4 linked regions of the Elephas maximus indicus genome follow. The protein of the gene in region 1 interacts with the protein of each later gene in a pairwise test. Links are inferred from orthologs where the notes say so. Each region holds a gene or a part of one and is shown in the gene's direction. Other genes may lie near its edges. The genes, in order: WWP1, ARRDC1, ENTREP1 and ATN1.

Evidence for each region.
Region 2: the proteins of WWP1 (region 1) and ARRDC1 interact in binary tests that used the Homo sapiens proteins (3 or more experiments, as listed by UniProt). The link is inferred for Elephas maximus indicus from reciprocal best matches to the Homo sapiens genes WWP1 and ARRDC1.
Region 3: the proteins of WWP1 (region 1) and ENTREP1 interact in binary tests that used the Homo sapiens proteins (3 or more experiments, as listed by UniProt). The link is inferred for Elephas maximus indicus from reciprocal best matches to the Homo sapiens genes WWP1 and ENTREP1.
Region 4: the proteins of WWP1 (region 1) and ATN1 interact in a two-hybrid assay, tested with the Homo sapiens proteins (2 studies listed by BioGRID and IntAct). The link is inferred for Elephas maximus indicus from reciprocal best matches to the Homo sapiens genes WWP1 and ATN1.

The regions. Positions count from the first base shown.
Region 1 is NC_064833.1:55,410,150-55,417,845, reverse strand, and holds the start of WWP1 (NEDD4-like E3 ubiquitin-protein ligase WWP1), read left to right. Parts: upstream 1-4,692; 5' UTR 4,693-4,895; intron 4,896-4,901; exon of another isoform or gene 4,902-7,588; intron 7,589-7,696. UniProt on the Homo sapiens protein: E3 ubiquitin-protein ligase which accepts ubiquitin from an E2 ubiquitin-conjugating enzyme in the form of a thioester and then directly transfers the ubiquitin to targeted substrates.
Region 2 is NC_064827.1:661,540-668,982, reverse strand, and holds the start of ARRDC1 (arrestin domain-containing protein 1), read left to right. Parts: upstream 1-4,531; intron 4,532-4,539; exon of another isoform or gene 4,540-5,061; 5' UTR 5,062-6,465; coding exon 6,466-6,519; intron 6,520-7,080; coding exon 7,081-7,202; intron 7,203-7,443. Other genes in the region: basic proline-rich protein-like, read right to left, coding at 3,000-4,415. UniProt on the Homo sapiens protein: Functions as an adapter recruiting ubiquitin-protein ligases to their specific substrates. Through an ubiquitination-dependent mechanism plays for instance a role in the incorporation of SLC11A2 into extracellular vesicles.
Region 3 is NC_064827.1:84,578,694-84,585,673, forward strand, and holds the start of ENTREP1 (endosomal transmembrane epsin interactor 1), read left to right. Parts: upstream 1-3,980; 5' UTR 3,981-4,491; coding exon 4,492-4,893; intron 4,894-6,980. UniProt on the Homo sapiens protein: Functions as an activator of the E3 ubiquitin protein ligase ITCH in the ubiquitination of the CXCL12-activated CXCR4 receptor. Thereby, triggers CXCR4 endocytosis and desensitization, negatively regulating the CXCL12/CXCR4 signaling pathway.
Region 4 is NC_064822.1:63,725,994-63,732,846, forward strand, and holds the start of ATN1 (atrophin-1), read left to right. Parts: upstream 1-3,850; 5' UTR 3,851-4,067; intron 4,068-4,439; exon of another isoform or gene 4,440-6,853. UniProt on the Homo sapiens protein: Transcriptional corepressor. Recruits NR2E1 to repress transcription. Promotes vascular smooth cell (VSMC) migration and orientation. Corepressor of MTG8 transcriptional repression.

The DNA.
Region 1 (7,696 bases):
CTAAATGACTCAGCCCCTGGATTGACAAATATGGACATGAGAGGGACTGGGGTGTTGGATTTGGGGTGCCAATCCCACCCCCTAGGGACTGGAGGGCATAAAAGCTCCAAGCTCCCCCGGGGCTGGGAGCCTGTGGTCTTTTGGCTGCCAGACCTCACCTTGCTCCTTGTTTGTGCAAGCAATAAATTTCCACTTTGTTTCCCTTGCAACTGGTGGTGTGGTATCCATCTTATTTCTATCGGCTAATAAAACAGGACAAGACCAAGACAAGGATATCCTTTCTCACTATATCTGTTAAGTACTGAAGAAATACAACTCTCTTTATTAACAGAGACACAATTGTATACATGGCAACTTCTAAGAAATTGACAAAACATTACTAGAACTAATAAGTGAATTTTTTTTAGCATATAAGGCCAATATTAAAAAATCCCATGTAAGGCAGTAAAAAAAAAAAAAAAAAAAAAAATATGAGCCATGGATATGAAGCATACCCCTACCCTTTCACAAACACATGCAGAAGAGGAAACTTTTAAGGTAGGAGAGGGGAACGGACACTTAGGTTAGTGCAGGGCTTCTCAACCTCAGCACTATCGCCATTTTATACTGGATAAAACTTTGTTGCTGGAGGGTAGAGGTGGAAGGGGAGTGTCCGGTGCATTGTAGGATGCTTAGCAGCATCCCTAGCCTCTGCCCACTAGATGCCACTGGCAACCCCACCCCGGGCTATGACAATCAGTATGTCTCAAGACACTGCCAAATGTTCCCTGGAATGCAAAATTGTTCCTGTGGAGAGCCATTGGGTTAGTGTATTTATTATTTATTGCCGCATAACAAATTTAGTGGCTTAAAACAATAAACATTTTTTACCTCACAGTTTCTACACATCTGAAATTTGAGAGCTACATAGCTGAGTAGTTCTGGTACAGGATATCTCTTGAAGTTGCAGTCAAGATGTCAGCTGGGATTGCAGTCATCTGAAGGCTTGACTGGGGCTGGAGGATCTGCTTCCAAGATGTCACACTCACAAGGAGACTCAGATCCTTGCCGGTTGTTGGCAGCAGGTCTCAGTTCCTTTCCACATAGGCCTCTTCACAGGGCTGTTTGATATGTTCTCACAACATGGCAGCTGCCTTCTCCCAGAGGGACTGATCTGAGAGTAAGAAGTCAAATGCCTTTTTATGACCTAGTCTCAGAAGGTACACAGTCACCTCTGCCATATTGTATCCATTGGGAATTGGGCTCCACTTTTTGAAGGGAAGGAGCCCTGGTGGCATAGCGGTTAAGAGCTATGGCTGTTAACCAAAAGGTCAGCAGTTCAAATCCACCAGCCCAGCCACTCCTTGGAAACCCTATGGGCCAGTTCTACTCTGTCCCATAGGGTCACTGTGAGTTGGAATCAACTCAACAGCAACCGTTTTTTTTTCCGAAGAGAAAAGTATCGACAAATTTGTGGATATATTTTAGAACTTCCACAGCTAGAAAAGAATTCTCTAACACGTTGAGGAAGACTATGAGAAAAACTATCTAGAGAAAATAAAAGATCATGCTAAAGGATTAAACTACGTAAAGGGAAAAAGCAAAATTATCAAACAAGTAGGGGAAAAAAAAAATGCAGATAAATTATATGACCTTAGAATGGAAAAGGACTTGTGAAGCAAAAAATAAAGGAAGAAAATAAAAATGGAAAACACTAATAGGTTTAACTAGGATCAATATCTTCATTATACAAAGCATCCTTTTGTGAATAACCTAGTAGGAAAATGGACAATGGACCAACAATAAGATACCATATTTGCTCATAAGAAAAAATGCCATGATGACTTCAGTGCAGTGAAGAAGAACAAGCATATTCTCTCATACAGTGCTGTGGGGAAATTCATAAAAACAATTACAACGATAATAATTTATTGACTATGTGTTACACTTATATGTTACACAGCCTTAAGTATTTTACATGTAGCAACTCATTAACTTCTTGCCATCATATGGTAGATAGCATTATACCAAATTTTTAGTTGAGGCCCAGTCAGGTTAATTAATTTGGGCAAGTCTTATAATTTATAGGTGGCAGCAGGGTTATCTTATCCATTAGGCACAATAGGCACAGTGCCTCGGGCCTGTAATACTTTTAGGGGCCCATAAAAATGTTTTATTTTCTTTCAAAATCAGAAGGGAAAAAAATAAACATTTAAGTTGAAGAAAACAGTTTAATGTATAATGTCACTATATTTGTCTTTGTACCAATGTTGTGTAAAACACAATTTTTAATACAATTTATGGAGGAAGAGGCCCACATAGGCAAAAGTGCCTACAGCCCATAAAGTCAGAATGTGGCCATGGGTGGCAGAGCTCTGTTTTGATCCTAAGCCTAGCCTATTTCTGGAAGGCAACTTGCCAATATGTTTCAAAAGGACTAAAATTGTTCATACCTTTTGATTATTGTTAGGAATTTTATCAAAGGCAGTAAATAAGGATGTGGATAAAGATTTACAAAAACATATTTATTTATAATAGTGTTATTTGAAGCCACACAAACATTTGCTAATAAAAGTCTGGTTTAATATTGGGTGTCAACATAGGGGCCAGGGTTAATATTTCTACACGGAACTGAGCTGTACGGAGCGGTGTGTAATCGGGGAATCTTTAAGCGAGACACAAGGGAGCAGGCAAACAGAAGGAGGCCTGTATACATTCTCAAGATGGAGACCACTACTGGGTATTTTTATGGAATTTCTAAGAGAGTTCTTGTAAGCACCTGTTTCAAGGGACTGGAGAGGAAAAAGATGAGGACAAGGTCAGACCAAACATTATGTGTTAAAGCAGGGGGATGATGGGTGTGCACACTCCAGGAACTGGAAAATGTTTGTCAGAACAGGAGGAACAGAGCTTGTGGGCAATAAAGAACTCTTGACTGTCATGTTGATCTTTGCCTTAAAAGTTCTGAAAAAGCCCATGGAAGATTTAAAGCAATGGAGTGGTAAGCTCAGAGGTCTATCTTAGAGAGGTCATTGTGGATACGGTGAGAAGTCAGAGGGCAGGAATTAATGCAACCAAGGGGGAGTGTGCATGCATGCCTTCATGAAGAGATATTTATTGAATCCTACAAATATTCATGGAGTGTCAGTTCTTGGTACGTAACCAAAGAAATCAAACCCATCGCCGTGAGTCAATTCTGACTCATTACAAACCCATAGGACACAGAACTACTCCAAAGAGTTTCCAAGGAGTGCCTGGTGGATTCAAACTGCAGACCTCTTGGTTAGCAGTCGTAGCTCTTAACCACTATGCCACCAGGGTTTGTATGTAACTCTTTTGAAAAGATTAGTTATGAGGGAAGAAGGGAGAGAACTGGAGGGTGTTTTAAGGTCAAGAAAGAATTTAAGACAGAGGAGTCTGAAACGTGATTATACTGAGGAGCTGTAGCCAATAGAGAGGGTGAGGTTAAAGACTGGTCACAGGAGGGAGGGGACCAGTGGAGAAGTTGGCTTTGGAGAGGAGCAGGGGCCCCAAATCTCTGAGACTGAAGGAAAACAAGTAAGCGTGGGTGTGGATGTAGGTAATTTGTGGAGGTCGGGTGAGGCGATTGGGCAAAAATTGTAGAATTCCATGCCTGATGGCCTTTGTTATCTTTCTGAAGTAGAAGGCCAGGTAATCTGATCAGAAATGTGGTCACCACTGACTTCTATTTGAAGGGTGACTTTCTTCTGAAAGCTCGACTGGGGTTGGAGGATCTGCTTCCAAGTGCCAACAACACTCCTGTAAACCAGCTGACTCGTTTGTATAGTGCATATAACGACAACAAAAAGTTGCTGTTGAGTAGACCCAGACTCATGGTAACCACATGTGTGTCCGAGTAGAAATTATACTCCATAGGGTTTTCGATGGCTGATTTTTTGGAAGTATATCTCCAGGCGTTTCTTCTGAGGTGCCTCTGGGTGGACTGGAACCACTAACCTTTTGGCATTGGCCATTTGCACCCCCCGCTGGATAACAGAGTCTGCCTTATAGGATTGCTGTGTGGATTAATTGTGCCAACACACGTACTTGCTCCATAAGTATTGGCTTTAACGCTGGGCTGATGTGGGGGTGAGGGAGTAATGTTTTGATTACAGAACTAATAAAATGGACTGGAGGTCTTCTGCTATGACTTATCTGTTAAAAGCAATTTACTCTTGAAACGGGTTTTGTGTCAAACATTCAGCGAGGAGTATTTATTAATAGCCTATTTTGCCGTAAAGCATTCAAGACAAGAACACCAGTGCCCCCGAGGAACTTACTTGAGGTCACGCACCCCGTTATGCTAAGCACAGTAAAGTCAAGTCAGCAGTACCCGCCGCCAGTTTGGGGAAACCTCTTCCCAAATCTCGGCGACGGCACCGCCCCTTCCACAGGTTCAGGCCCCACCCCCTTCTCCCTCTGGCAGGCCCTCCCACTAGACCGCTCCGAAGACCCGGAGGAGCGGAGTTTTCTAAAGGCATCATCGGGGCGCCCTCGCTGCGCATGCTCGCGAGAAGCCGGATTCCGGGTCCGGAGTTGGAGGCTTTGGGTGGCCGCGGCGCAGCGCGCGGTGCCGGGGCCGGCGGGGAGGCGCGCGCTCGGAGCGCGGCGCCGGTGACGCGGGCACGCGGCGCGCTCCCGAGGAGGGAGGTGTGGGGTCGCCTGGGGGTGGCGCGTGGCCGGGGTGGGGTGGGGGGAGGGTCGGGTGTCGGCGAGAGCGGCGTGCGGGTTCCGAGAGGCTGCAGGCGGCCTGGGCTGCCAGGGCCGACGCCTGGGTGGCTGTCGCCGCCGCGTCTACTGCGAGATGGCGATCTTGGGCGCGGAGGGGTGAGGGCGCCCGCCGCAGGAGGAGGCGCCGCTGCCGTGGCCGCCGGGAGCCGACGGCTTCGCGCCGGGTAAGGACGCCGCGAGGCGGGGGGCGGGCGGCGCGGCTGCGGGCCCCGAGCCTTAGCTGCGGTCCCGGAGCCCGGAGCGGCCAGTGCCCGGGCGGGAATCTCGAAAGGCGGTCGGGTGCCGGTCCGCGCCGTCCTGGCCGCCTTCTCCAGCCCGGGGACCGGGAGTTTGCTGGGGTGGGGTCACGGGTCTTGCCCCGAGTTGTAGGGGCAGAGGCAGAGGCCTGTGCTGGCTGATATTGGAGCGGAGCGAGGTGTTTCCGTGACCCTGCAGCCGCAGTTCTCAGGCTCCACTTCACCTTCTTTCTACCTTCTCTTCCTTTCCTTAACACCTCCCCTCTGAACACAAATATGTGGACTTTTGCCCGTGCGCTGACTTTCACCGCAATTCAGCCGTTTCAAAACCAGGACTCCAACCTTAGAACGTCTTTTTCTGACATGTTCTTAAGACTCCGGTTCTTCACTGGCTCTGCACCTCCCCCCAACACAACCCCCACCTCCACCTTTGTGACCTGGCAGGTCCCAGTGACCTTGCAGTTTTTACAGTCCTTATCTGTGATTTGGACCCTCTCCTTTCATTCTTATCTTTTTATTTTGTAGTTTGCCCATTGCTTTTACAACCTTTAAATTAGCAGTGTGTGAACAGTGCTTTCTTTACTCCATCGATTTGGAGTTGAGCTTCCTTTGCTCCAGTAATAATATGACGCCTTCATTGTCAAAGAAAATAAGTATTATTTTGCAGTTTTTACTTCTGGATAGAATATTTTTCCAATGGCTTGATTGGGTTTCTGCTTCTCTTTGAGAAGTCTAACCTTTTTTGTGTAGGTCAGTGTGCAAAAAGATTTGAGTGTCTGCTTGAAAATGCTGTTGGTAATAGTTGTGGACAAGAAAATGTCCAAAGTTATCTTTTTTTATTCCTTTTGTGTTTTTGCCTTGAATACCTGGTTTACAGTTGTCTGCAAGAGTTCACTTATGTATAAACCCACTTTACCACTCACTAAGGCCCTACGTGTATTATACAAGCAAGGTGCACCATGTATTGCACCTTTTAAAAAAGAATTCATTCATGTGATTTGTCTTTAGCCATAAAGTAGTAACCTAGCAGTGACTGGAAATGCTCATTTTTTTATAAATAGTTAATATTTTTTAAACTAAAAACTTAATAGCTAAGTGTTGAGAGCTACACAAAATTCTTTGGGACGTAGTTTATTAACATTTTCAGATAGTTCTTCCCTTAAAATGCATAACTGCCTATAAGACCTATGACCCCACAGTTTTGAAAAGCAGTAGCTAGTTACATTTTTTGGAAGCCTAGCATGATAACCAAAAGCAAACCCATTGCCATCCTATAAATTCCGACTCATAGTGACCCTGGAGGGCAGAGTAGGTGTCCAAGGCTGTAAATCTTTAGGGAAGCCGACTGGCACGTCTTTGTCCCACACAGTGGCTTGGTGGGTTCAAACCGCAGAGCTTTTGCTTAGCAGATGAGTACTTAACCACCATACCACCAGGGCTCCTCTGGCATGATAGAGGATGTCACAGATAAGGTTTTTACCTTCAAAGAGATCATAATCTTTGCTCTTTACCCCATGCTGGCTGGAATTTCTTTTACTTTCTTGCACAATTATTAAGCATCTACTGCATGACCGCCAACCTTTTGGCTAGTAGTCAAATGCTTAGCCATTTATGCTAGCCAGGGACCTTTTGTACAGGAATAGAGGGTGATAAAGCTTGAAGTAAAAATTTGGGCTAGCTTATGGGTTGTTTTTAATGTGACCTTGAATTTAGTAGGTGGTTAAGGTTTCACAGGTGATGTTTAAGTTGGGTGTGAAATGATTAAAGCTCTGTTTTAGTGGTACTAATCTGGCCGCAGTGTGAATTGGACTAGGGAGAGCCTGGAGGTAGAAAGACCTCTCGATTGCTGTGGTCATAGCTAGCAAAAGTTTTGCACTTTGCCAGTAATGGGAATGGAAAGGAGGAAGGGTGTAGAACAGACAGAACTTGATGATGAGAAAAAAAATGAAGAAAGTAAAATGTTAAACTAAGATTCTGACCCAGGTTAGTTGGGAGAGTGGTGGTATCATTTTGAGCATATCCATGTAAGCTTTTACCTTTTTTTAAGCAGCATATGTTTGTTATTTTATGTCAGTAGTTTACTGACCTTTTTGGAATAACTGACCTTTTGTGAAACTAAAGAAATCTGCTGGACTGGAATATCCCTATTTGTACCTGCACTTTGTGGATATAATTTCAGAGGAGTCCGTGAACCTAGTGAAGCTCATCCATGGAACCCATTGGACAGGTTTGGGTGGAGGTCAGCTCTCAGAATTAACCTGGAATCTTTTTACAATGGTAGAACTCAGCTTCCCCCATCCTGGCAAGAACCTCTACAGCAGAGAGGATTGCTTAGAGACTTATCTCCTCACACTTGTGATGGGGTTTACAGTTTACATAGAATTTTGACTCACTTACTTCTTTTATATTACAGAACAAACTAGCCCAAGAAGCTAAATGATCTACCTTAAGTATTTCAATTACCAAGTGGGCAAAGTGGCATCACGAGTCACTTGACAATGATGATTTTCTTTCTTGTATGAAGAGAATGCGACTGATTGACCATCGGTTGGATATGGTTGAATCTGGGAGGTTTCTTCTAGTTTTTAACATTTTTGTGATTCTTGGATCTTAGGTTTTCGGTAAGAGCATCTGTACCCTTATTAAATGCCCTCCCGCCCCCACACCCTTCCCACTCCCACAGGATTAAGTAGCTAAGTCTTCCTAGCATGGTTAAAGCATAATTTGAT
Region 2 (7,443 bases), on another chromosome or scaffold:
AGCCAACTGGCCCTTTGAAACTTCTGCTAGGGAATCTCCTTAATCAGCCCACAAGTTAATTAGGTACATTTTCTGTCTTCCATGTTACCAGTCTGTATTAGTTATTTAGTGCTGCTATAACAGAAACACCCGCAAGTGGATGTTTATTCTTTCACAGGTTAGGAGGCTAAAAATCTAAATTCAGGACACTAGCTTTAGGGGAAGGCTTTCTCTGTCGGCTCTGGGGGAAGGTCCTTGTTTCCTTTCAACATCTGTGGGCCCAGCATTCCTTAGAGATCTCCACGTGTCTTAGCATCAATCTTTCTGAGTCTAGGAGGTTCATGGTACAGGTACCCTGGTCCAAAGGACACACTCTACTCCTGGCTCTTCTTTCTTGCTGGTAGTGAGGTCCCTCTCTTCTCTACTCCCTTCTCTCTCCTTTTATCTTATAAAAGATGTGACTCAAGCAAGGGTGTGACTTTAGCACAGGCAAGTGACTCAAGATACAGCCCACGCTAATCCTGCCTCATTAACATAGAGTGGTTTAGGATTTAACAATACTGGGAATCATGGCCTAACCAAGTTGACATATATTTTTCTGGGACACGATTCAATCCATGACACAGTCTCACCAATTTTTCCACCAAGAGATAACATGGTTCACTGTTTCTCCAGCCTACAGTAGCAGGCTCATGGACCTTCCAGCACCCTCCTGCTGCCTGGCCCGAAAGTCAATGCTACATTTAATATTTTGTTATGGTAGTTTCTCACTTGTAAGTACCAATTTCTATTTCAGTTTTTATCACTGCATAGCAAGCTACTCTAAAATTTAGTAGCTGTCTTAGTTATCTAGTGCTGCTATAACAGAAATACCATAAGTGGATGGCTTTAACAAAGAACAGCCCCATAGAGTTTCCAAGGAGCTCCTGGTGGATTTGAACTGCTGACCTTTTGGTTAGCAGCTGTAGCTCTTAAACCACTATGCCACCAGGGTTTCCTCTCACAGTCTAGGAGGCTAGAAATCCAAATTCAGGGGCATAGGGATTGGAGAAAGACTCATTAACAACCTGTGTTATGCAGATGATACAACCTTCCTTGCTGAAAGTGAAGAAGACTTGAAGCACTTACTGATGAAGATCAAAGACCACAGCCTTCAGTATGGATTACACCTCAACATAAAGAAAACAAAAATCCTCACAACTGGACCAGTGAGCAACATCATGATAAATGGAGAAAAGACTGAAGTTGTCAAGGATTTCATATTACTTGGATCCACAATCAACAGCCATGGAAGCAGCAGTCAAGAAAAAAAAAGACACATTGCATTGGGTAAATCTGCTGCAAGAGACCTCTTCAAAGTGCTGAAGAACAAAGATGTCACCTTGAAGACTAAGGTGCGCCTGACCCAAGCCATGGCAGTTTCAATCGCTTCATGTGCGTGTGAAAGCTGGACAATGAATAAGGAAGACTGAAGAAGAATTGATGCCTTTGAATTGTGGTGTTGGCGAAGAATATTGAATATACCACGGGCTGCAGAAAGAACGAACAAATCTGTCTTAGAAGAAGTACAGCCAGAGTGCTCCTTAGAGGCAAGGATGGCGAGACTGCATCTTATATACTTTGGACATGTTGTCAGGAGGCATGAGTCCCTGGAGAAGAACATCATGCTTGGCAGAGTACAGGGTCAGCAGAAAAGAGGAAGACCCTCAATGAGGTGGATTGACACAGTGGCTGCAACAATGAGCTCAAACATAACAACGATTGTAAGGATGGTGCAGGACTGGGCGGTGTTCCGTTCTGTTGCCTAGGGTCGCTATGAGTTGGAACCAACTTGAGGGCACCTAACAACAACAGCTCCAGGGGAAGTCTTTCTGTTTCTTATTGGCTCTGGGGGAAGGTCCTTCTCATCAGTCTTCCCCTGGACTAGGAGCTTCTCATCACAGGTACTCCAGGTCCAAAGAATGTGCAGTACTCCTGGCTGTGCTTTCTTGGTGGTATGAGGTGCCGATGTCTCTGCTTGATTCTCTGTTTTATATATCAAAAGAGATTGGCTTAAGACAAGATCTAATCTTGTAGATTGCGTCTTGCCTCATTAACATCAAAGAAGTAGGATTTACAACACAGAGGAAAATCACACCAGATGAGAAAACGGTGGACAATCACACAATACTGGAAATCATGATCTAGCCGAGCTACTAATCGCTAAGCCACCAGGGTTTCCACTTTGGAAGAGTGGAAGTGAATTCCCCCGGCTGAGTGTCCTTCTCTACTGATAAGCTTCCTGCGCAAAGCAAGCTGAGAAAAAATTCTACAGAAGTAGTTTAAAAGACTTGGGTTGTTAGTAAACAAAGAGTATTCCAGCCCAACTTTTGGAGTCAGTAGACCTCTATCAGCAGGGGTGTTTGTTTTAGATTCTCTTTGATTTGCATGGTTCTATTTTTCCAAACCAAGATGAGTTTCATTATGTATAATCTTCATAATGACCAATATTATTCAGCTCTGACGAAAAAACAAAACTACAAAAAAACAGAATGACAAAATATATGTAAAACTTAAACAACTGTTTTGCTTAAGCAATTCACTTAGTACCCTATCAGACTCAAATTTTGGAGAGCCTTTATGTGTTCTGAAGGAAAACAAAGTAAGGATTAATCATGTAGCCTAGAGTAGTAACTGATGAGGGAAGGCCTTAACTAGGGCCAGGAGCCGGAGGGACAGGGCGCCCAATATATTCTGCAGAAACATGTTTTGCACATATGAATAAATGTGCAGTTGCATTTAAAACACAAACAAAAACAAACCAGATTCTGGTCCTCCTTGTCTCAAAGCCATCCGCACCATCCCCCCATGTGGCAGCGAGGTCATCTGTCCCTACAGCTTCGGACCCCGGCGCCCTCCCTGCCCCCGGGCTTGGCACTTGCTGCTCAGGTGCGCCCATAGCTTCAGGGCTGGATCCTCCAAGGCTAGGCAGCGCGGTGCACACAGCAGGCTCGGCTGGCACACCTGCGGGACAAGCGACCTCAAAGCCTCTGGCAAGAGGGGGACGCTGGCCAAGAGTCAGTAGGGCGCCCGGACAGGGGTCCGCCGGGGAGCGGAGGAAGGGTCAGCGAGGTGCCGGGGCTGGGGTCGCCGGGGAGCGGGGTAAGGGTCGGCGAGGTGCCCGGGGAGGGGTCTGCCGGGGAGCGGGGTGGGGTCGCCGGGGAGCGGGGTAAGGGTCGGCGAGGTGCCCGGAGTGGGGTCGCCGGGGAGCGGGGTAAGGGTCGGCGAGGTGTCCGGGGTGGGGTCGCAGGGCCTCCCGCGGTGGGGTCGCCGGGGAGCGGGGTAAGGGTCGGCGAGGTGCCCGGGGTGGGGTCGCCAGGGAGCGGGGTAAGGGTCGGCGAGGTGCCCGGAGTGGGGTCGCCGGGGAGCGGGGTAAGGGTCGGCGAGGTGCCGGGGGTGGGGTCGCAGGGCCTCCTGGGGTGGGGTCGCCGGGGAGCGGGGTAAGGGTCGGCGAGGTGCCGGGGGTGGGGTCGCAGGGCCTCCCGCGGTGGGGTCGCCGGGGAGCGGGGTAAGGGTCGGCGAGGTGCCCGGGGTGGGGTCGCCAGGGAGCGGGGTAAGGGTCGGCGAGGTGCCCGGGGTGGGGTCGCCGGGGAGCGGGGTAAGGGTCGGCGAGGTGCCCGGAGTGGGGTCGCAGGGCCTCCCGCGGTGGGGTCGCCGGGGAGCGGGGTAAGGGTCGGCGAGGTGTCCGGGGTGGGGTCGCAGGGCCTCCCGCGGTGGGGTCGCCGGGGAGCGGGGTAAGGGTCGGCGAGGTGCCCGGAGTGGGGTCGCCGGGGAGCGGGGTAAGGGTCGGCGAGGTGCCCGGGGTGGGGTCGCCAGGGAGCGGGGTAAGGGTCGGCGAGGTGCCCGGGGGCGCGGTTACGGGGTCGCCCGAGGGAGAGGTCCGCGGGCGTCAGGGCCGGGGCGGCGATCGCGGATCCCGGCGGCCCGTCCTCCCCCGCGCGCGGCGTCCTCTGGACACCCCCGGCCTTCCGTGACGCGCTTCCGTCTATTCTCGCGGGGCCCGGGGCGGGGCGCGAGGGTCCCGAGCGGCAGCTGGGGAGGGGCGGGCGGCGCACGCCGGCTGCGGCCGCGGGGAGGCTCCAGTTGCGCAGCTCGGGGCGCGTCTGGGGCCGAGAGCCGAGCGTACGCCCCGCCCCGCGGCCCCGCCCCGGGTCCCGCCCAGCGACCCCGCCCCCAGCGGCCCCGCCCCCGACAGGTGAGCCGGCCGCGCCTCCCGGGGCAGCAGGGGGCGCCCGTGCGCCCAACCCCGCCAGCCGCGCCGGACGCAAAGCTGCTGAGCTCGGCCCGGGCCGGGGGCGGGTCGGCGGGCGGGCGGGCGGGCGGCGGGGCGGCGGCCTCGGAGCGCTGCCGGGCGGCGGGCTGTAGTGCGCTGCCGGCCCGGCGCGGGCTCGCAGCATGGGGCGCCTGCAGCTCTTCGAGATCCGCCTGAGCCATGGCCGCGTCGTCTACAGCCCGGGGGAGCCGCTGGTCGGGGCCGTGTGCGTGCGCCTGGGCGCGCCTCTGCCCTTCCGAGGTGGGCACCGGCCGGCGGGGCTGCGGGGGTCCCCTCGCGGGTGGGCCGGGCGGCCTCAGGTGGTCGCGTCCGCACCTGGGGCGGCTGGGCGGGGCGCCCGGGACCCCGGAAGCGGCGGCGGTGCCTGCCGGCCGGGGACGCGCGTTGCGGATGCGCCGCCCTGCCCCGGCCTGAGCGCCAGCCGGGGGGACGGCTCGGGTGTGGCCGGCCGCCCCGCGCAGACCGCCGGGTGTTTGGCCGGGGGCTGCCGCCAGGCGGGGCGGGGCGGGGAGACCCCGGTGGCCCAGCCCGCCGCATCTGCCTCTTCCTCTCCTTGCTGCCCGGGGGCGGCCAGAGCCGCGGGCTGGGGTGTGGAGGCTCCCCATCTGGCCTAAGGTCACTCTGATTCATTTCCGCTTGGGGTTTCCCTGTCGGGGCACTTAAGGTCTGCTGCCACCCGCATCTTTTGGGCCTCCTCACCTGTAACCTGGCTCACTCTCCGGCTCCCTAGCCTGCCCGCCCAGGATCTTGCTCAGGCCCCTCTTTTCCAGGACAGTCCTGCCCCGAATGTGCGGCCTCCCGCAGGGCCCTCCTTGACTCCTGCCCTGGCTTCCCCTGCCAACTGGGAGGACCTCGCCCATGCCCACCTCCCCCTGGCCTCTGGCGCAGCCTGGCACCAGGGAGCTGAACCTGAGCCCTCCAGGCCAGTCCCTGTGGCGGTGCTGTCTCCTCTTTCACAGACATCTGGGACTTTGGGACTAGGGATTGGGTTGCCGCGGCAGCCCTTGCTAGGGCTCTTGGAGGTGCTGGCCTTGTTTGCCCATCCAAACTGCGGCCCTGTACCAGGCCCTGAGGGCAGGGTGGGCAGAGCTGCCGCCAAGAGGGTGCACCTGTGGCCCTGGCTGCCTGATTCTGGCCTGAGCCGAGGGTAGCTTGGGCATCCCTGCATGGCTCTCTCCACCTTCACTTACTCTCAGAGCCTCCTGGGGCAGTTGGCCCATCTGGACCTCCGTGTGGCCCTTGCCACCATGTGGTGTGAGGCTCCCAGCCCTGTTGGGTCTCGTCGTTATGATCTGATGTCTCCCTAACTACTTCCCTGGCAGGAGTTGGGAGTTTGGGGTGGCAGTTACCACAGGGCCAGAGGCAGTGGGGCTACCCGCTGGGGCGCACGCACAAGGGCACATGCACAGAGCCATGCCAGGTGAGATCTGGGGGATGGGAGTGGAAGGCTCTTGGCTGACCACAGTCAAGGGGCCATCTGGGCCCTGTGTGGGGTCCTGGGGTAGGGTGAAGGTGAATTACTTGGGGCCACAGAAAGCTGCAAAAGTGGCAGCCGGTGCTCTCTGAGTGGGGGAGGAGGAGGAGGACTCCCAATCGGGCCAGAAACCTGATTATTTCGGCTACAGAAGACCCGGTGGAGCACCAGGTGCTGAGGCCACTTCGGACTTCCTCTGATACTTCCTGGTATGCAAAGGGGAGGGCCACCTGTTTTTCCCTCATTCGCTTGATGCCTCTTGAGCGCCTGCTCAGTGCCAGTGAGGTCGTGGTGAGGCCCTCTGTCCCAGGAGAAACATCAAGGAAGGGAGAGCCGGATGCCTGCAGGGTGGGGGCTCCGAGTTGCTCACTAAATGCTTGTTGAATGAATGGCCCTGATGGTGCTGCAGAAGGAGTTGCTCTTGGAGCCCAGGCCAGACCCTACCCAAGGTTGGTAGTTGGTCAGGTGGGGGCTGCCCAAATTCTGGCTCTCGGGGTGGGCAAGGGAGGATGCCCCCAGCACCGCCAGTCTTCCCCGAGCTCCCTTCGTGGGACACTTGCTATTCTACCCACTCTCCATGTTTGGGTAATTAATCCTCATCGCTACCTGGGAGGTGGGAGGACTGGGTCAAGAGGAAAGCAGGTGTTCCAGGAGCAACTCTTGTGACACAAGCAACATCGAGATCAAAAGAGTCAGAGTGATGGCAAACCTTTCAGAAAGGCTGCAGCGCTCTCCACCAACAGACACCTGCCGGGTTGGTGCAATCTCTCGTGATAACCCTATACTGTCAGGGAACACTTAAAGGCTAGATGGCGTGGCTCGGTGCGAGGACGCCGCGTGCCTCCTGGAGCAGATGCTTAACTCCCTTTGCTGGGTAGGGGCAACAGGGCTGCAGGGTCACTAGTGAAGAGTGACTTAACCGTTATCATCAAAAAGGCAGAGGAAGTCTGGCTCTTCGATGCAGTAACTGCCACTGAATCGCCCAGTCCTGCCACCACCCCTGAAGGACAGTTTACTGGGGTCTCAGGCCTGGTTTCCTGCCCCCTTTGCCACCACCCTCAGCAGAGTGGCTGGTTTTCTTAGGCCAGCTGTGTCATCCTGAAGAGGCTGCAGTAGTCCCTGGCATCTAGTCTCCAAAATCTGTGTTCCCCCTAAGAGCAAAGACCCCTCCTAAAACCTCCGATAGGTCCCCCTCATTTCTTGAGCAGGACCATGTTGCAGGAACCCGATTAATCCAGCGGTTTGGGCAGGGAAAACTGTGGCCACTGCAATGGACCCAGAGCAGTGAAAACTGACTCCCTGGGGATTCTCCCAGGCTGACCTGAGGAAGCAGCAGGCCTTCTGTGGGAAAGACCTTTGCCTTTGCCCTACACCCCCCCATTTTTCCCCTAGCAGGGGAGAGAGGACAGCAGGGCAGGTTCCACCACAGGACAACAGGTAGGGCTGCTTGTTCAGCAGGGTGTCCCGTAGGACCTTGGTGTGTGTGTAAAACGGGGCTCTTGGCATGGGGGTTTGGCATGTTGGTGTTTTTATCTGGTTGGCTTTTCTGGGGTCAGGTGCGCATAACTCATTTACCTGATGCTGGGAGCTGGGTCCTCTGCTATTGGTGGACACCCGGGTATACCTAGCTTGTTGGTGTCACAGTGGTGGTGTGTGTGGCTCTGTGGGTGAATGGGTA
Region 3 (6,980 bases), on another chromosome or scaffold:
CACACACACACACACTCAGAGGACACACATTTTTACATATGTATAATGGCTGCTAACCGAAAAGTCATCAGTTCGAATTCACCAACTGGTCCCTATGGGGCAGCTCTACCCTGTCTTACAGGGTTGCTTTGAGTCAGAACCGACTTGATGGCAAGGAGTTTTACATATATATATATCTGTCTTGAAAGAAGTACAGCCAGAATGCTCTTTAAAAGCAAGGAAGGCAAGACTTCATCTAACATAGTTTGGACACATTATCAGGAGGGATCAGTCTGTGGAGAAGGACATCATGCTTGGTAAAGTAGAGGGTCGGTGAAAAAGAGGAAGACCCTCAATGAGATGGATTGACACAGTGGCTGCAACAATGAGTTCAAGTATAACAATGATTGTGAGGGTGGCGCAAGACCGGGTAGTGTTATCTTCTGTTCTATGTAGGGTCACTATGAGTCGGAACCTACTTGATAGCACCTAACAACAACACCTATACACGCACACACACACACACACATATATATGTGCCATGAACAATTTTTAGGGCAGTTAACATGAATTGTCTCTGTGGTATCTGCATTCATAAAAAGTTTCCAGCATTGAACTTCAACAATGAGAAAAGTATGGCTGCAATCTATCTCGGGGCCAGTGGCATTAAGGAATTCTTAGCTGTCAGTCCGTATCGTTATTTCAGAAAAATGTAGTGCCGGATTCATCCAGCTCTGTGCAGGGTTTCTTTTTCTTTCTTTCTTCAGCTCATTCTCTCAATTAAAACACATCAGAACAGAAACGACGCTACACAGCCCTTTCCCTTCAAAGGGAAAACACATAATTGAAGTTGCCCCTCACCCATCCCCCCTCCCCCCCCCCCCCGCACAAACTCTCACACCACACATACCTCATGGGAAAACACAACGCCATGGAACCTGATGCCTTCAAGTTTAGACTAGCGAGTTTTGGGTTTTGTCCTGGATATTTTGGGTCTGTAAATTTAACTATTCCACACTCAAGTTCACCTGCTTTTCTTAGCCCCTATTCTCTTGCCAGTAATCTGAGAAACTGTGGTGATGAGAATGGATGAACTTCAAAATTGCAGGCCTTCAGGACTCCAAATAATAAAATGTCCCAGCCTTAGGCAGATAAAGTATCACAAACCTGCATTTTACACATGAAGCAACTGAGGCCATGGAAGCCAGTAGGGGTGGGGAGAGGGGCATGGCTAGAGCCCAGAAGGTCTGCCTTCTAATGGAGCTTTGTCCATTAGAATCCAGGGGGCTAGCTCTTTCCTGTGCATAAAAGTCACCTGAGCAGCAGTGCCTGCTGGGGCAGCAACAGCCCTCCCCCCAACAAATTTACATCTAAGTTTGGTTTCAAACCAAATCATCTAGACTCCCCTTCCAACAAAATTGCTGCCCCTAGTCTTCTCCTGGAAACCCTGGTGGAGTAGTGGTTAAGAGCTACCTCTGCTAACCAAAAGGTCAGCAGTTTGAATCCACCAGCTGTTTCTTGGAAACCCAATGAGGCAGTTCTATGCTGTCCTATAGGGTCACTGTGTGTTGGAATTGACCCGACGACAATGGTTTTTTTTAGTCCTCTCCCATAGAACAGTTTCCATATAAAAAGAGTCTGAATAGTGCCACACACTCCTGCGTTTTTGCATTTGTTAAAATGCAGGTTTTCAGGTCTCATATCCAGTCAGATTCCATGGGTGTGGGGTAGGCCTGGGAACCTGCATTTTAACACGTTCCCTACATGACATGATTCTGTGCTCTGTGGACCATACTGCTCCAGGCCCACCATGCTAAATGGGGACTTCTGGAGTCTGCTGTGCCTTAAATTCAGGGAAGCTCTTCTGTTTCTGTAACATATAACAAATGGAAGCAGGTTTGGTTTGAAATCACAAGTGTCTTCAGCAGCTCTCTACATCAACAGGGAACCAAAAAACCAAAACCAACTTCTGGAGTCTGCTGTGCCTTAAATTCAGGGAAGCTCTTCTGTTTCTGTAACATATAACAAATGGAAGCAGGTTTGGTTTGAAATCACAAGTGTCTTCAGCAGCTCTCTACATCAACAGGGAACCAAAAAACCAAAACCAAACCCCTTGCCTTCCAGTTGATTCTGACTCATAGCAAACCTGTAGGGTAGAGTAGAATTGCCCCAGAGGGTTTCCAAGGCTGTAATCTTTGCAGAAGCAGACTGCCACATCTTTCTCCTGAGGAGCACAGTGGTGAATTCGAACCAAATTTTTCGTTAGCAGCCAAGCACCTTAACCCCTGCACCACCAGGGCTCCTTCTGACAGGGAGCAGCCTCCTTTAATTAGGTGACAACTAAGGTCCTCTGGAAATGGGTGGGAGAAAGTGAGGAATTTGTTTAAAGGGGTCCAGAGAAATCTGAGCAAAAGAGCCTTTATACCTGAGTGCGCCAAGTGGAAAATAAGATACATATCCGGTGGGAGGTATATAGAACCTCCTTGCAAGTTCGCTTTCATCATGAGGAAAAACTGGCAACTGAGTTCCACTGGACAATAAATACACTACAACCATTGTTTCCTTGAACTTTCACCTACATTAATGAAGTATTTGGGCCAAATTCTTAAGTGAGGCCCTTCCTCACTTTATTTTTTAAGTCATCCTGAAATGGCTTTGAATCATCCCCTAAGAGATCAGTTCCATACAGCTTGATCAGGTAAACTAAGGACTTAGTGTAAGCAGAGGTTTAGGGGATGCAAAGAATCAAGGTTGGGTGACAGAAATCCAAGGCCAACTACTTAAAGGAGTTATGTGGCATAGCTCTAAAGGCTGCGGCAGTGTTACATGGGTTCATGTTTACAATAATCAGAAAAAGAAACAAATATAAATGTGACCAGTAACAACAACAAAAAAGTAAACTGTGGTAGAAAACTATGGAACCAAAGCAAAAAACCAAACTGGTTGCGGTTGTGATGATTCCAACTCATAGCACCTCTGTAGGTGAGGGTAGAACTGCCTCACAGGGTTTCCAAGGAGCAGCTGGTGGATTCTAATGTCTGACTTTTTGGCTAGTAGCAAAGCTCTTAACCAAGCCACCACCAGGGCTCCAAAAAAGAAGTCAGGAAGTATTAATCCCAGGTGCTTTAATAATTAAAAAAATGCACATGTAAGCACACATATACGTTGCCTGTACATCACATTTTGTATTGAATTAAGTAATGAAAGAAAGAAATACAGTCTTCGCAAGCAGAGCATAAAAACTGGTAAAGCTCTCCTTTGGTTAATTAGGAAGGAGAACGTTAAATACTCCCACCATACTGATAAGATAAACTGCCTAATACTGGGGCTGACTGACTGCAAGCCTCACTGCTCTGGTTCTTATCTAGAAAAATCAATTAGAATCATTCTGTGCGTAAGAACACTTTTTCAACAGATTAGAATTCTTCCCAGGTAAAAGTATACTATTAGAGGAAATCATTTTGCAAAGACAAGTCATCACTTTTTTTAATAAGTTTTAAAGATGTCTCATAAATTACCAAAAGCAGTCGAGGACGCTGATTAGAATTTTATTAGGATATTTCTTTTTAAGTCCGGAATTTTGTGTTTCAAGGCGAGGCGGACAGAGTGTAACCCTTGCTAAGCGCTTAGAGCCACTCCCTGATCTTTTTTTCTGGATACTGTGTATTTGTTCCAAGTGTAACCTAGTCTTCCCACGCTCGCTCCTACTCAGGTACCGGGAAACCCCCAGTCTCCCCCCTCTCCAGAAGGTGCGACCTCAGCGCAGTGTCAGCGCCGGGAAACACCAAGCAGATGCCGTCCAGGCAGGTCCTGCGTCCCCGGAGCAGCGACTTCTCGCAGCCTCGTCCTTCCCGAAGCCCTGCGTCTTAGACCTCTTCCCAAAGCTCCTCTTCCTGACATCCCCGCTCTGGGCGGGGGGGGGGGGGGGGGGGGGGGTGAGGGGGGGGGCGAAGTTTAAAGCCGGACTCCCTTCGCGTCCAAGGTTGCCGCGGGTTGCTCTCTTGGCTGTACGGTTACCCGGGTGAGGGTACACAGCGCTTTCCCCTACGCGCCTCTGTAGCCTCAACTCTGCGAGTGGGGGACAGATTCTTACGCTGTCGGCCGTGCCCTGGCGCACAGTCCCTTCCCGTTCGAGGGTCTTATTCTAAAAATTGGTGCAGGGTCCCCTTCCTGGGCCCCAGGGAGCGGGTACGGGCTCGGCTGTGACCCGAAGACGGAGGCATATTTGGCTACCCGCGCGGCTCGTGCGCAGGGCGCGTGTGGGTGTGGGTGGGTGAGAGTGAGGGTGCGGCCGGGGGCCGGCCGGAGGCGGACCCGCCGGGCGGCAGGTGGGTGCGGCCGGAGGGAGCCGGGTTTGCGGCGGCGGCGGCGGCAGCAAATAATTGGGCCGTGCGCATTTCCTTCCCTCCCCTCGGCCTCGCCGCCCACCCGCAGCGCCCAGTGCGCGGCGCCCGCGGCTCAGCGCCGCGTCCCCTCCCCGCCGCCGCCGGCCGCTCCTTTCCCGGCCGGTCCATGTCCCTGCCCGTGGTGCTCCCGGGCTCCTGCTGCCCCGTGGCCGGGCTTTCAGGCGGACCACAGGCCGGGGGTCCTGGCGCCGCCGCCGCCGCCGCCCAGGAGCCGCCGCTGCCCCCGCTGCGGCCGCGCTGGCCCCGGGCCGCGCTGCAGCCCCCGGCGCGGCCTCGCTGCACGGCCACCTCCGGGGTGCTGGCCGCGCCGCCCGCGCTCTCCTCTCGCCGGGCCGCCGCCGCCGCCGCGGCCCCGGGCTCCGCGCTGCTGCCCGCCCGCCCACTGCTGTCGCTTGGGCTTCTGCAGCTGATCCTGGGCTGCTGCATGGTGGCACTCAGCTTCGGGGCGCTGTCGCTGAGCAGCTCCCCGCAGGTGAAGAACTCGTGCCCTTTCTGGGCGGGCTCCTCGGTGAGTGCAGCGCGCCCCCCGCTCACCTTTGCAGGGCCGGTCATGGGGCAGAGGGCTCTGGCTGGTTCCCATCACCGTCCGTTGGTTACCACCGCCGCTCCCCGCGGGGCTGCAGTTAGCACAAACCCGTAAGGCCAGCTGAAGTTTTTGGAGGCATTGGGAGCAGCAGAAGAAAAAGATTTTGGAGACAACTGAGTTTAGGGGTGAATGGGGTTGCGCCTGGGCAGTGCAGATTCTTCTCAGGCTAAAGGATTTTGTTGTTACTGTCAAGTTACTAGTATAAAACAAAAATTTCCAGCACTTTGGGAGATTGGAAGGATGGGGGGGGGGTGTGATGACAGGAAAGCCGGAGGAAAATAATTAACCTCCTTTTGAAGATTGAGTGTTTACAATAGTGCACTGACAACGTCCACGCCGGGAAGGCAAGGGTTTTGATCTGTTTTGTTCACTGATGTATCAACAGTGCCTGGCACACAGTAGGTGGATTTGTGGAATGAATGAACTGACAGGTTGATGGGGGGCACTTGTTTTATTCCTCATTGTCCTTATTGTGTGGACTGGATTCTTTCTGACTAATGGTGACCCTATACAACAGAGTAAAAGTGACCCATAGGGTTTTCTAGGCTGTAATCTTTACAGGGCCAGGTCACCAGGACTTTTCTCCCACGGAGCTGCCGGTGGACTTGAACTCAGACCTTTCCGGTTAGCACCAAGAACTTCAACCATTGCGCCACCAGGGCTCCTTTATTCCTTGTTAGTCCACACGTAAATGTGAAATGTATCTCATGTAGGATAGCTCGCCTGTATTTGGGGACAAGTTCAGGAGGTAATGAGGGGGTGTGTGTAAGCCAGTGCTTGTACCTGGTCATTAAAGCAGGGCCTTTTTTTTTTTTTTTTTTAAAGCCCCCACTGGGTTCCTGGAGCCACACAGGCTGCTGTGCAGTGTTTAATTCTCAGGAACCTGAGCCTGTCATTATCAATGAGCTAGGCAAAGCTCCAGGAGCTAGGCAGCTACCTGGAATTATCTGCTCAGCCCCAGGACCCAGCTCTGTCTCCTCTAACCGGGAAGGCTGATTCCAGGGCAAAAGGGTGCCTTCTAAAATTAAAAGCCCAAATCAGTTTACCCTTGAGTTATTTCAGAGGTAAATACACTTAGAGGCCTCTGACAAAGGCTGCTGCCTGCCAGTGTCCGTGGACACTGGGTGGACACTCACCCCTACCTCCTTACCATTTCACAACTCCTAAGACATCCAACCCCTTGAGGTTGGCCGGGTGCTGAGAGTCCTGGAAACAGGTCTTGGTAGGATGATTGTGAGAGATGAGTATTTAAAGTAAATGACCTTTCTTTGAACTAAATTAAAAGGGCTGGCGTGGCCTGTAGTTTTTCCCCGAAATCTGTAAGGTATGCATGTTCTGAAAGCTGAAGAGCCATTCTTTTCCAGGTCGACACATATGCAGATTCCAGACCAAAATTTAATATCAGGAGGGCTAATCTGAACCAAAAGTAATTCCTGGAATAAGAACGTTAGGCTCCTCGACACTGGCCTGACATTTTATCCTGAAATTGATGCCAATTTGCTTTCCTTTGAAATACTTTGATGTTGATCTCTGTCTGGTACATCCTGTGCTATATGAGCAAAGTTCACAGTTTGTACACCATATAAACAGAATCCCACCCTCACCACCCTGCTGCTGGGCTCTGCCGATTGCCCCTGAGTGTTTTATAGACTCTAGGAGGAAGCCTCCTCCAAGCAGGGTGGGAATTAGATCCTTCCTGCTCCCTACTCCACTTGCCAGGCTAAATTCGGCCAAATGGATTGTGCATTTCATTTCCCTAAATACCAGGGGCCAGCAATGACTCTTGCATACATTTTTAGGTATTTGCACTTTGTGAAATGATAATCTGTTGTCTTCTCAAACGCAGCTAGTTTAGGATTAAAAACCATTTTTGAATTATTTCAGGTAAATGCACTTAGATACCAGTCCAGCCACGGTTGGATTTGATAAAGTATAAAAAAAGGCCATCAGCCAGAAGATGAAGGGTATTACTCCAGGGCCTGCTGGCTGGGTGTGTCCTTGTCTCCCAC
Region 4 (6,853 bases), on another chromosome or scaffold:
AACTCTATGGAGCACAGTTCTACTGTCACATATGGGATCCCCATGAGTTAGAATTGACTCAGCAAGTGATATAGCCAGGATCCAGAAGTCCCTGAAAGTATCAAAGGTATAAAGCTGTGGACTGGACCAGCTCCCATACTGAGCCTCTCCCAAACAAAATCCTGGCTGGTTCTGGGATGGAGCAGGACTGTGTGGCCATCACCTCCTGCAAGATGGGGAACTGGGAAGACTGGTACCAGGCCATGTAGGGAAGGGCCTGAGGAAGCTTAAGTCCTGAATGTTCAGGACTTGAAGTGCTTGACAGGCCCTCTGGCTGGGTCAGACTGTGCATAGGGTGCCAGTATATGGCTAGAGATCCCCTGTAACTCCTAAGCTCCTGTGGAGCCCCAGCACTGGAATGCTCAGCCTAGGGACCACCCAGAGGGAGAAGGGGGTGGGCAGCCCAGTGCCTTGGATTGGGAAGGCACATATTAGCAGGTAGGGGCTGCCCATGGGGAGCTGTGGCCACTAGAGGGAGCCGATGTTCTATACGACACCGTGCGGGACACTGCTGTAGTCGGGGTGGGAAGAATTTCAAGGGTACTCTCTGTGGGCCTCCCACTCTAAGTTCTGGTCCTGGGCTCCCTCTGCTGTCTTGTACAGCTCCAGGGCTAAAAGGATTTCAGTTCTGTATAGGCAGGGCCCATTTCTGCCCTCTCCTCCTGGGTCCCTGACACCTCAGCCATTTTCAGTTCAAAGAGCTTCTTGCCCCCACTCCTCCGTGCACGTTGCAGTGTGGGCATCTCATCTTTCTTTCATTTCTGCCTAGCAGGACTTTCTGCCTCTCTTGGGGCTCACCATACTTTCTCTGTGCCTCTGTTGTCTCTGAGGTCCATGACTTCCATCTTTCTTCAGTAACTACCAGACTTATTAGGATTACTCTGGTTCTGGTTTGAGCCACATTTTCTAACCAGTGTCCTTTCTTTCCTCCCTCCTTGCTCTGTTGCCTTCTGACAGTCATGCTCCCTGCCCCCCCCTCAGGTATTGGGTTGGATTGGGTTACAGCTAGCTGTGCCTGGGCCTCCCAGGCCCCTCTCTCCATTTTCCTTTTGTGCCGTTGCCTGGAGACCAGTGGGTTGTGGGGGGCTGGGGCCAGAAAGGAGAGCTGGGGTGAGGGATGGTGAGGTGTGTGTGTAATGCTCCCTGAAGCTGGATTGTGAGCCTGGCCCTCACATGGTGAGGAATTGGAGGGGGTAGGCCCCAGTTTCTCTGCTGCCTCTCCCTATCCCCACCCCCCTCATTCCTACTTTACACCTAAGTCAGTTTTCCTTTTGGGCTCAGATATATCTGTCATCATCCTTGCCCACCTCTTCGTGGTTAAAGAACAAGAGAAATCTCAGCCTAGAAGGGAGATGGGAAGGGCCTGGGCCAGGGCCCAGTGGGAGACCGAACTGAGAAGTACAGAGGAAATGCTGTGCGGAGGAGTGGGAGGGGGAAGGAGGAGTCTTGGAACAGAGTTGAGGGGGGTGGCCAGGAGGAGTGGGGCTATCCTGGAACACTGAGGAAAGAAGTCTGGGGAGCCCAGGAAGACAGGCTGGCTTTGTCTTAGGGAGGCTGGGGAGGGATAAGGAAGGTGGGCATGGAGTGGTAAGTGACTGCTAACCAGTTTGAGGGACTTAAGAGTGGTGATTCATTCCTAGGCCAAGGAAGCCTTCTTGTTTCCATCCCCAGTGCTTTAGAATCCATGTACTGTAAGCTTTTGGGTCCTCCCAGACATGTGTTGGCTGAACCTGGCCCAGGGAAATGTGAGGCGACATCTACTGAGTTTCTACAGAGCCAACCTCCTTCCCTCTCAGATGGCAGGGGATCCTGCCAGTTCAGGGCCTAACATGGGCCTCTGGCTGGCCTGACCCCACAAAAACTCTACCCTCACCTCAAATCTGGAGAGCTGAGGACTCCTGATCCAGACTCCAGCTCCAGCTCTTCCTGTTTCCCAGCCTCCCTCCCTCCCTTTCTCTGGCCTTCCCAATCTCAGCTGCCAAAAATCACCCAGTGTCTTGGTGTCCTTTGTCCTAGGAGATGGAGCTGCTTGGTGTGGGCCCAGGGAGGGAGCCCAGAAGAAGGCGGCTTGTGGGGTGCTGTCTTCATGGCTGAAGACTGGGAATGGCTGGCAGACTGACAGCGTCAGAGACTGCCTGGAGAGCAGTGGAGGGAGAATGAGAGTCGCGTTAGAATGAGCTTTTGGTCTGTAGTGGTGATTGTCTCTACCTTAGAATGGAGTTAGGGAACCAGGACACCTAGGGATTTGGCTCCATACCAAGCCTAATCCCCACTGACCCCTTCCCTGTGGCCCAAGGTACAATCAGTGGTGACTTCAAACAGATTTGAGAATGAAAATAGAGAAGCCACCACACAGAAGGGCCTGAGGCTGGTCTCCCAGTCCTATAAGTTGAATCCCTTACCCACACCTGGACACGTCCCCTCTGTGTCTATCATTTCCTTCAAATGCTCTCCCTTCTCTTGTCTTCCCCATCAATGACCTACCTTCCTCCATATTGCCACCAAAGGCCTTGTTTATTTTTCCAATCTTCCTTAAATCCCTCCACCCAATTCTATCTACCTCGCCCTGCAAACCCAAGCCCTCAGTTCACTTAACCCCAGCATCCAGCTAGCCCTGTGTCTTCCACCCTCTTGTCCCACTCAGAACCCTAGTCTCCTCTGCCTCTTTCACCTCTTCTTAAGGCTCTTCGTGCTTTCCCTTTCCTCTTCATACTGACATTTCCTCTGGGATCTTCTCTCCAGCTTTCCTTTAAAAAGCACCCCCAAATTCCTATATTCCCTATTCCTTTCCCAACACCAATCACCCCTTAAACTCTTTACTGTCTTCCCAAAACCCCATCCTCATATATATGTCTCCATCCTTTCAATTTCTTCCCTTCTTATGACCCCAAACTTTCATCCTATTCTCTTTGGTAATAACCCCCCAAACTCTTCCCACTTCATCTCTGCCACAGACGCAATCACTCCAAGTTTCTTTCACCTTTCCTCATTTCCACACACTTCATTGTCCCCAAAGATCCTTGTAGCTCCATTTTCTCAATCTCTTTCTAACCCTTTTACCCCAATCTCTATCCCAGTACCCCCAAACTCCTCCCACTTCACCTCTGCCACAAACCCCATCCCCCCAAACTTCTCCAGCTTCCCCCATATCTGTCCTTACAACCCACAGCCCCTCCTGGCCAGCCCTACTCCCGCGTCAGGCCGGCGGCACCCTACATTCCGCCACGGCGAACCCCTCCCCGCGCCCCGGCCCCCTCGGCCTCGGTCTCGGCCAACTCACACAGCGCCTCCCCTTCTCCGGATCCCCCTCTCTCCCCCCTCGCAGCTTGCCTCGCGCTCCCTCCCTCGCGTCTCCCTCCTGGCCCCTCTCTCCTCCGTTCCTCCGCGCTCCCTCCTTCTCCCTCTTCCTCCCTTCTCCCATCCCCCTCTCCCAAGCTCCCTCCCTTCGCCGTCCGCTTTCCTGTGCGAGTCGCCGGACGCGCCGCCCAGCCCGCCCGCAGCCCCGCGCCGGGCCGGGGCCTCCAGCCGGGACCCATTTCGGGGGACCGCTGGCCTCGGGGAGCGGCTAGGAGTGGGCGAAGGAGACGACCGCCCGGGAAGGGGCGGGGGCCGCGGGCGGAGGCCGCCGAGAGGGCCGGGGATCGCGCGGGTGCGGGCTGCGCGGGGCCGGCGCGGCGGCGGCGGCGGCGGCGGATCCGAGCGGCGCGGAGGGCCGGCCGGGCCGCGGGGGCGAGCGGCGCGGCCGCGGCTTTCGGGCGGCAGGGGAGGCGGCGCGACTGGGGAGGGGACGAGGGAGAGCGGCAACGGGATTTGTTTCAGGGGACGGCGGGCGATCGGGACCAGGTGGGGAGGAAAAGGGACATGGGGGCCGCCCTCCGGGGGGGTCGGGGACGCCGCCGTCGCCGTCGCGGCGGCGACTGAAGCCGGAAAGAGGAGAGGGGGGCGGGGAGCGGCCGCCGCCGCCCCCCGGAGGTGCCGGAGCCCCGAATCCCGCCAGGAGGCAGCCAGCCGTCCCGAGCTACAACCAGGTAAGCTGTGCTGCCGCCCCGGCCTCCGGCCCGCCGGGTTCTGGCCCGCGGCTCCCCACCCCCACCCCTCCCAGCTCCCCCTCCCGCCGCTGCCGCCTCCATTTGTTATTTTCCCGATTCGGTCCCCCTACTGTGGGCACTGCCTAGCCTGAGGCTGGTGGGGGGGGGCGCTCTGGGGGTGGGGCCGGCCCCGAGGAGGGATGGGGGCCAGGGCACCCAGAGGATCTCGAAGGCTGAGAGAAGTGGGAGGGGCTCAGGAGGAGGACTCATGGGGCAAGGGGGTAGCCAGGACCCCCGGACCAAAAGAAGAGGAACGCCGAGGTGGGGATGTGGGGGTGTTGGTGGAGGAAAAACGGGGGATTGGGGCAGAGGCAGAAAAGATTGGAGAGATGGCAGCGAGGTGGGGCGTGAGGGCTCCAGGAAAAGCCTCAAAGGCCCGGAGCCTGGCTTTCAGGGCCAGGGGTTGGGGGTGTTAGGAATAGAAGGGAAGTGGGAAATGGGGAAGGGGTGTGGTAGGTGGAAAGAGAGAGATTGTGGCTGTTGAGGAAGGGAAGTGGAACCTGCGGAGATGGAGGCTCAGAAATGGGCAAGGAGAGGTCCATTTCTGAGAAGAATAATCAGGGGCTTTGAGGGTTGGGAGTGTGAAGGTGATGCCTTTGTGACTTATTTTTCTCTCCCTTACTGCAGGTCGCTTCTGACCCTGTTTTCTCAATCCCAGACACAGTTTACTTCTGGGAGAGGGGCATTGGGGCCCAGTAGTGTGGGTCTTTGTAAAACTGATGAGGAGGAAGACAGGGGCATTGAAGGGAGAGTTAAGGAGAAAGGGTTTCAAGGAGGGTGGCTTTATAGGCACTTCAAACAAGCTGTGACCCCACCCTTAAATCCCCAGAGCACCCACTGTGCTTCTAGCCATGGTCCCTGTATAGGAGAGGTCTTCGTTACTCTTTTGAGCTCTAAGGTCTCCCTTTGTGCCAGATGGATCCCTGGGATAGACTCTTGGGGGGGAGGCTACCATTTTGTTGCCATGGCAATGGTCCAGTGGGATGTCCAACTAGGTGGGGGTTCAGAATCTTGATTGGACCTCAGTGTGTGCCTGTGTCCTTGGGATGCATCAGGGCCCTAAATTCCTAGCTCTTGGCTGGGTTCCGGAGGATGTTTCTGGTGCTGCTGGTGCATAGGAGGTTCCCCAAAGGGTGCACCCCCTTCCATCCAGCAGTCTGTTGAAACAGGTAGACATGTTACTTGCAGGTCGTAGGCGTCTCCAAGTCCCTTCTCCCAGGCATGGTGGGAGAATGAAAATGCTCTCAAGTTATACCATCTTTTGGCGGTTCTTTCTGGCCTCTACCTCCCTTGTTATTAAGGACTTTTTTACACAGTAGTTTTGCTTCTCTGCACTGAAGTCCTTCTGTTTTCTTAAACTTGAATTTCTCTTTGAGTCTCCCTTCCTGAGGAGTATCTCTTTTCCTCTTTTCCAGACTATCCCCACAGTGACCCTTTTCTTCAGCTAACTTTCAAGTTTCTACTTCCCTGACCTTGTAGGAATGACTGGGCTGTCCCAGGGGAAAGGGCCGAGGCACAGCCTGGTGCAGTGGAAGTACTCTGGAATGGGAACCAGGAGACCTGGGTCTAGTCTTGGTTGTGTCTGTGACCTTGGGCAAGTCACTTCTCTTTCTTTGAGCTTCAGCTTCATTGTAAGATGAAAGGATAATAGACTAGATGATCTCTGAGGCCCTTCTGACAACCCTGGATTCTAAGGTGGTTTAGGCCAGTGCGTGCTGGTTTGGGCTGCATTGTCTTCTAGGAGACACTTTGAGCTGGTTTGCCAGTCAGGCAGGTCTGGAATGAGAAGGGCTGGGCCAATGATCCTGAAATTCACCCTGCAAATCCCTCCCAGAAAGCCTTGTGACTCAGTTGTATTTCTTCTGATATCCTTCCTATACAAAAGGAAAAAAAACCGGTTGACATCAAGTTGGTTCTTTTTCTGAAGTAGATCGCCAAGCCTTTTTTCCGAGGCACCTCTAGGTAGACTTAAACCTCCAACCCTTTGGTTAGCAGCCAAGCTTTTTAACTGTTTGCACCATCTATGGACTCCAGCCTTCTCATACTTCTCCCTTAATTTCTTTTCCTGTTCTTAATGAGGGGCTCTTTTCCTATTTCTCGCAACCCTTTTCCAGTTTCCCAATTTGGTCTATCATTTTCCCTTTGCAATACGGTAATCAAGGTGAATGTGCTTAGCGTGTTGCCAGACACATAGTAGGTGCTTTACAAATATTGAAGCCCTGGTGATGCAGTGGTTGGCTGCTAACCAAAAAGTCACCATCAGCTGCTCCTTGGAAACCCTACTGTGTCCTATAGGGTTGCTATAAGTCCAAATTGACGGCAGTGGGTTTTGATTAATAAATGTTAGTTACAGTGACTGGCCGCTAGGGCAAGGAGTGTAGCTCACCTGTTTGGTGTTAGAACGTGCCCTAGGTTCTGAAACATACATACAGTCCAATCCCAGTCCCTCCCGTCTCCCTTTATCCTGGGATTACTTGCCTACCTTTTTATGACGGCTTTACTTCTTCAATGCAACTGTTCGCTAATTTTTTCAGATTTCAGCTGATAAAAAAAAGTTGAGGTGAGGGGGAAGGGCACACGAATTGCTGTGTTCTTCAGGTACATTCTCATATTTCTTTGACCTTTTGGATCCCCTGACTGATGTGGTGAACAGGTTCTGTGATGGGAGGAGAGATGGGCGCCCTGCTGTAAAGATGAAGATCACAGCCAATCACAGTCATCTTGTG